Linked DNA regions of Ovis aries. The protein of the gene in region 1 purifies or fractionates together with the protein of each later gene. This does not show direct contact. Links are inferred from orthologs where the notes say so. Each region holds a gene or a part of one and is shown in the gene's direction. Other genes may lie near its edges. The genes, in order: STRIP2 and PPP2CB.

Region 1 (3,817 bases):
CTGATTCCAGGAGGCTGGAGCTAAGCAGAATAACAGGGCAGCTGTTAGCCAGTGGACAGGCAATAGGGCTGTCCTGGAGAAATCAGAGGTTCTGTTTCGGGGCAGGTCACCTTTTTCTTTTGGACTGATGGGAGATGCCACTTTTTGAGGTAGGGTGTTATTGCACCTCTTCCTGATAGAGCTAATGTTTCGTGGAAAGGACACTGGCTGAGAGGTGGGAGATCTGACCTCTGTTGATACTGAGGAACCTTGGGCGATGCTCTGTGTCTCGGTTTCTCTAGCTGTAAAATAGAGGGTTTATTGCCTGCTCTCTGTTCAGATAGAGGATTTGCTTTCATAAAACAAAGTCCTTGTAAGTGTATGGTTGCAGTTTTGTTACTAATTATTCAACCCGATTCTTCCTCTTTGGCTCCCTCCCCACAGAACTGGCTGAACAACCTACCCCCTAGGGCAGGCCTTGAGTGACTTTAGGGGTGTATAGTATCTAAATGTATTCCTTGAAAGAGGGTACATTTTCCTGTTTTTATCCCCCAGTGGAGGCCTTCAGTAGTCCCTTTCCTAATTTCTGGGGATCCAGCCCTGGGTCAGTAAATAGTACTTTATCCTGACCCCTCAGCTCTAAGGGATAGTGGCCACCTCTGAGACTGGGCCCAGTTACCACATTCTTTTTGCCTTCTGTTGTATTACTTCCTAATTAAGGAGGGGGTCTCGGGGACTGGAGGTTGTGACTATTCTCTCCATCCACACTTCCCTGACCTTGCCTTCTGACTTCTTCCTCTCTTTTCTGCCCCTTTCCTGTTCAAATCTCAGTTTACCCTCGGTGGATTTGAGCATCTGCAGGCTCTCAAAGTACAGAAGCGGGCGGAACTGGGCCTTCCTCCACTGGCGGAGGACAGTATCCAGGTGGTGAAGAGCATGCGGGCTGCCTCCCCGCCCTCCTACACCCTCGACCTGGGGGAGTCTCAGCTGGCACCTCCACCCTCCAAACTGCGAGGCCGCCATGGTTCTCGAAGGGTATGGACTAAAGCAGACAGTGGTGTTGTGACACCAGCTGGCCAAAAATCGAGATTCTAAGCAGCTCTGGATATGTTAGGAAAGAACAGCAAATGACTCTGCTGTCCTACCCCTGACCAGCCCTGTGACCAACCTGAAATCTTGGAGACTATACTTTGGCTTCTGTCCCCAAGCCCTGATGGGGTCCTGGCTGTCAAGATGTCATACTGTGATATCACTTCATAGATCCACGTCTTACTAAGGATCATTGACCTAGACCTCAGTGCCTGGAGTTCCCTAGTGTGCCAAACAACAGTTGGGGTAAAATCTTGGCCATAGGTACCTGGTAGAGGCACTTTGTCATTTTCTTCTCAGTAAGAAGTTTTACTCTGAGCCCGCCGTGCTCTTCTCTGGCCGTGAAACGAGAGGCTTACATTTAAAGATGACTGGTTAGGGGTCTAGATAGTCTGCGTCCCTAGAAAGGTCACAGGTACAACTTGCGCTGAGACCTGACTATACTCCCAAGAACTCGCCTGCCTGATATAACTGACGTCACCAACTACAGGTGACGGGTCCGGACAGTCACACTCAGTAATCTAGTCTACATTATCTGCAGTGTGATATTTTTTTAACCTTTATTTTTTGTTTGACAAAATAATGCTTACTCATTATAGAAAATTTAGAACAAATATAAAAGTGTGGAAAGGGAGAGAAAAAAAAGTCACCCACAATCTTAACAACCAGAAGCAGTCACTGTTAACTTTTTGGCCTATTTCTGCCCAGTCTTTTTTGTCTTTCTGTGACAAGATTTAAAATTCCAAACTCGATTCCCTCTGCCTAGCAGCAAGCTCCCATTCTCCTCTTCCTCAGTCAGCCAGCTGGTGTATGCTCACAGAAGGCAAATTAATTGAATGTTCACCTAAGTGGAGCATAATTAGGAAGGAAAGTGCAGGCAAAAAAAAGCATCAGTGTTTTCTGAAACCTAAGTGTGACTTTGGGATTATCTGTGCTCTGTCTCCCAGCCATAGATGTGGTTGCTTGAGAGAGCTGCTTGTCCTGGAATTGGGCCTGGTGGGGACAGTAGGGTTGAGATGGGAAGAAAAAGTTCTCACTAGGGGTGGGTTCTTACTCCATGTTCCCTGAAGTCAGCAGCCTGGGGGTAGTGGGTAGTCTCAGACAAGGATGCCCAGACTGAGATTTCTGGACACCTTCCCTCTCTCCTTCTACCCACCCTCCTCGCCCCCCAGCAACTCCTTACTAAGCAGGACAGCTTGGACATCTACAATGAAAGAGATCTCTTTAAGACTGAAGAACCAGCCACAGAGGAGGAAGAGGAATCTGCCAGCGATGGAGAACGCACTTTGGATGGAGAGTTAGACCTGCTAGAGCAGGACCCTCTAGTACCCCCTCCACCCTCACAGGCACCCCTCTCTGCTGAGCGTGTGGCCTTTCCCAAGGGCCTACCTTGGACCCCAAAGGTCAGGTAGGCTTGATAACACCAGAACCCTGGGCTTTGGGGTTCCAGTCACTGGAGGCTGAGGGTGGAGTGGTCTGTGTATTCAAGGCTCAGTAAGCTGGGCTGTGAGTTGGAACTCCTGGGTGGGGAGTTCCCTTTATTGGCTTCCCTTGCTGTTCCAGTTTTCCATCTGGAGGGGTGGGAGCCCAGTAAGGTTCTCTCTCTCAAGGTTTGCTATTCTTCCCTTCTCTGGGATTTGTCTGTCCACCATCCTCTCAGACAGAAGGACATTGAGCACTTCTTGGAGATGAGTAGGAACAAGTTCATCGGATTCACTCTGGGGCAGTAAGTGACTGGATGGTCAGAATTGGCTATATAGAGGGGTTCTTGGGGGGCAGAGGAGTGGGTGGCTTGGAATGAGAGATGTTGCCTAATCATGGTGATACAACCCAGAGCCTTGGGCAGCTCCCAGTGACTGCTTTGGGTTCTTGCCATCTAGTTTTTTCCTTCCAGTTTCCTAGAACTTTTATGTTCTCAGCCAGGTATAGGATATAGGATGTTGATCAAGTCATTTCCCTATGGGAATCAGTTTCCTCATCAGAGTGTTATGAGATGATCCCTACAGGCTCTTTTCCTAGAGAATTCTGTGAAGAAGCAACATGGTGGGAACAGATCCAGTCTTTCCCCATTTCCCTACCCTTGTGAATCCCCACCGGTCACTGCAAAACCTCAGAAGCTATTCTTCCTGCTGTTTTGCTGTCAAAAGTGTTGTTGGGCAACGTGCCCTTTAAAATAGGAACCTACTCCCAGACAAAGTGAGTCCCCACTAGACTATACAGAAATCCTAAGTTACAGAGGCTCTTCTCTGTACCGTTGTTCTTTTTGTGTCCTGAAGCAATGAGGGACCTGATAACTTGCAGAGAAAGATCCAGGCGACCAGATGGTGAAAGTGGCCTGGTCCACATGACTCCAGGAGTATCGGTAGTTCTCTGTACTTCTGACCTTTATATATCTTGTGTTCACAGGGATACAGATACTTTGGTTGGATTACCCAGGCCCATCCACGAGAGTGTGAAGACCCTCAAGCAGGTAAGTAGGTTGGGCTGTCAGTCTTCAGAGATAGGGACCCATCAATACAAATTGAATGACCCCCAGTAGGGTCCTGGGTCCTGGGTGGGGCTCTTCCACTAGCCATGTTCTAAACCTGTTATTCTGTATTTCCTCTGCAAGGGTTTTGGCCAAACAGATTTTAAAAAGTCAGGTCTCTACCTACCTATCCAGTGTCCTACATTTAGATGGATGAAAAAGTTATCCCTTCTTCTCTCATTGCTTTTCCCTCCTCCCACCCTCCTCTCCCTCTTCCCACTT
Region 2 (3,817 bases), on another chromosome or scaffold:
TTGAGAGTCCCTTGGACTGCAGGGAGATCCAACCAGTCCATCCTAAAGGTGATCGTCCTGGGTGTTCATTGGAAGGACTGATGTTGAATCTGAAACTCCAATACTTTGGCCACCTGATGCGAAGAGCTGACTCATTTGAAAAGACCCTGATGCTGGGAAAGACTGAAGGCAGGAGAAGGGACAACAGAGGATGAGATGGTTGGATGGCATCACTGACTCAATGGATATGAGTTTGAGTAAACTCCGGGAGTTGGTGATGGACAGGGAAGCCTGCCGAGCTGCGGGCCATGGGGTCGCAAAGAGTTGGACACGACTGAGTGACTGAACTGAACTGAACTATCAGTCTTCATGCATGTTCAGTCATGTCCAAATCTTTGCGCCCTCATGGATTGTAGCTTGCTAGGCTCCTCTGTTCATGGGATTTCCCAGCCAAGGATACTGAAGCAGGTTGTCATTTCCTCCTCCAGTGGATCTTCCCCACACAGGGATAGAATCTGAATCTCCTGTGTCTCCTGCATTGGCAGAAGGATTCTTTACCACTAATCCACCAGGGAAGCCCCTATCAGAGTCATAGAGAGAATCAAACTTTGAGTTCTAAGTCACATTAAAGAAACATTCATGAGAATTACGTGCAGAGTTACACAGTGTACAGAAAAGAGCTGGCATAGCAGCCCCGAGACCACTGTCTGTTTAAAAGCTGGGTGTCAAGGTTCTTGTTGGTGTCTGGAAACTTGGATTTGGGGAGGCTTTGCACCATTCCCTGTTGAGAATTGCTCACTGTGCCTAAACTGTTCATGCAAACAGTGTGATTTATGCTGGACATGTGGTTTTCTTTGGACGTCTAGTACTTTGGTACATCATAGAGGGACCAGCTCCCCGTCTGGGCTCCGAGGCTGAAGAGCTTCCCTGTAACGGGCAGGTTGCACACAGGCGTCAGGTGTGTCTGTGCAGCTCCGCCGGGAGAAGACTCCTGAAGCCTGCCCTTGATTTGCTCGGGGCCGTGCCTCTGCGCCTTTTCCTTTTGCTGATTGTGCTGTGTCTGTTTTTACTGTCGTAAGTCATAGCCGTGAGTACACCTGTGTGCTGAGTTCTCTGGGTCGTCTTTTGTGAATCACTAGCAAACCTGGGGCGCTTTTGGGGACCCCTGACACACAGGGGTTTGTACATTGAGAATTCCAGCTGTCTACAGGTGAACTGTAACTTCTGCCAAGCCAGCCCGCCCTTTGCTTGAAGGGACCCCAGAGTGATTGCAAAATAAGAGCACTTTACAGTAAAGGGTGTGAGCTATAAATCATTTAGAAACATGAGGGATCTGTACCATAAAGATAAAAATTTGTCTGGCCTGATGAAGTACTTCAGCGCTATGTAGATAAAAGCTCAGGAAGTATTGCTGTTAATGTAAAGCAAACACACACTGTGAATCATGTCTCTTAACTCATCTTCATAGTTGTTTAAAACCTGTGCTGGGTTAAGATAACCACATGGCCTTAAAAGAACAGTTGAATTGGATAATATTTACATTTTGGTGCTTTTTATTTCCATGTTTAAAATAAGGTACTGAAGATAGTGTTTGTATGTGAAGGAGATTTCCTGTTTAGATTTGGAACCATCAGCTGAATGTTGAGGGTTTTTCCCAATAATAATAAATATAAGACATCAGGTCCAGGCACTTCCTTCATGGTCCAGTGGTTGACCACTTTCCAATGCAGGGGACATGGGTTTGATCCCTGGTTGAGGAACTAAGATCCCACATGCTCTGGGGTAACTCAGCCTGTGCACCACAAAGAGCGGGAACAGCCAAAAAAAAAAAACCAAAATAGACATCAGGTCCAACTGAACTCCAATTTATGTTCCTCAGTTTGATTTGTTTTTCTTGAACAAAATTAGGAAGCTATTTTTATGGACTAAACTTGATAAAAATGCCGTTTCATTTGTGAACTTGGACATTTCTGAGCCGTTTGTCAAACTTCCTAGGAGATACTTGATAATCTCTAAAATTCCCTTCAGTGCTAATTGGAATTACACCTTGCAGCAGCTCTGCCCTCCTCCTTGCCCCATCCCAGTGACTGACTGTGCAGCAGGGAGCTCATGTCTCAGTTGGTACATATACTTTTACCATATCTGCTCATTACTTCAGAGGATTTTTTCATTTACTTTCTGATTCTGGGCTCTTATTAGGAAAAGTTGTTAGATAAGTGAGGTGTCATGAACTTGAACTTAGTCAATATATTTAATTTGTCACTGTTTATATATAAATTCTGTACTTTAGGGCCTCCAAACAGTAACTTGAGTCATTAAATATAGAATAGTTGAAATAAAGTTGAAAGTTGTCCTATGAGTTGCTGTAAGGTGTTTGTGAAAGAATTTGAATAATTGTGACTTTTTCTTTAATATTGATATTTGTAACCTATAAATAATATTGTTCGTTTAAAAAAACCAGCTTTGAGGTGAAATTTCTATGCAAGTCAGTGATTGTGAGTGTTCACTTCACTGGCTTTTAGTACATTCGTAAATATGTGCATCCATCACTGCCCTATTAGAATATTTTCATTACCCCTAAAAGAAATCTCTTGCCCCTTAGTTATTACCCCTCAGCCCTACCTAGGCAGCCCTGATGTTCTATCTTTGTAGGTTTGTCTGTTCCAAACATTTCACATCAATGGAGTCATCCAGTATGACCATTTGTGACTGTCTTTCGCTTAGTATGTTTTCAAAGTTAACAGCGTGTAATCAGTCTTTCAGTGCTTTTATTATTGAATAATACTCCATTGAACAAATAATACCATTATTTATTCATTAGTTAGTGGGCTTTGGGGTGGTTTCCGCTTTTTGTCCATTGTGCGTAATGCTGCCATGAACATGTGTCAGCTGCAGTTTTCGCCTCTTGAGTCTCTGTCTAGGGATGGAATTGCTGGGTGACATGGTAGTTCTGTGTGTAGCACTGGGAGGACCTGCCGGACTATTTTCCACAGCAGGTGTACCGTTCTAGATTCCCACCAACACTGTGAACGTTCCCAGCTTCTCCACATCCTCAAAAACACTTGTAATTCTTTTGTATCGAGCCATCCTACGACGTGTACAGTCGTCTCTTCTTGTGGTTTTAGTTTTATGATTTTATAGTGCACATTTCAGTTGATTTTTTTCCTCCAGATTTTCTTAAATAGACAAGAAATGATGCCTTCAGATTTGTGAGAGAATCTTCTTTTTTAATTGTTGATTTCATTTCTTTAACAGGCTAAGGAAATTTTAACAAAAGAATCAAATGTACAAGAGGTCCGTTGTCCTGTCACCGTCTGTGGAGATGTGCATGGTCAATTCCATGATCTTATGGAGCTCTTCAGAATCGGTGGGAAGTCACCAGATACAAACTATCTGTTCATGGGTGACTATGTAGACAGAGGTTATTATTCTGTGGAGACTGTAACTCTTCTTGTGGCATTAAAGGTATGACTAATGAAATTCTTTTTTTTTTCCCAAGCTTTAAATCAGCAAAAGACAGAGTGGGCATTGCATATCATAATGTTCTAGTTTATGGTCCATTCATTTTATAGCCCCTTAAAATAATAGTTGATTTTACATCTTTTGGGAGAAAGATATGAAAATTATGCATTAAACTGCTCTTGCCTACTTCTGGTAAATTATTGCTATAGGTCGTAATCCGTAGCTGAAGTCTTAAAATCATTTTTAATCAACTTATCCCACATATATAGTTAATTGATACTCTATTTTTAAAATTCTTGCCTTGAGAAATCTGTTGTTTCTGTGTCTTTTCTATTTTTACTGTCGTTTAATGCATATCTTCTTCATGTCGCTTTAA

The links.
Region 2: the proteins of STRIP2 (region 1) and PPP2CB purify together in Homo sapiens (affinity purification with mass spectrometry; 3 studies listed by BioGRID and IntAct, counting the BioPlex papers as one, with this or other methods). This does not show direct contact. The link is inferred for Ovis aries from reciprocal best matches to the Homo sapiens genes STRIP2 and PPP2CB.

What each region holds. Positions count from the first base shown.
Region 1 is NC_056057.1:95,043,923-95,047,739, forward strand, and holds part of STRIP2 (striatin-interacting protein 2), read left to right. Parts: intron 1-810; coding exon 811-1,014; intron 1,015-2,240; coding exon 2,241-2,476; intron 2,477-2,728; coding exon 2,729-2,794; intron 2,795-3,474; coding exon 3,475-3,538; intron 3,539-3,817. UniProt on the Homo sapiens protein: Plays a role in the regulation of cell morphology and cytoskeletal organization. Required in the control of cell shape. Calmodulin-binding scaffolding protein which is the center of the striatin-interacting phosphatase and kinase (STRIPAK) complexes.
Region 2 is NC_056079.1:26,053,370-26,057,186, reverse strand, and holds part of PPP2CB (serine/threonine-protein phosphatase 2A catalytic subunit beta isoform), read left to right. Parts: intron 1-3,234; coding exon 3,235-3,444; intron 3,445-3,817.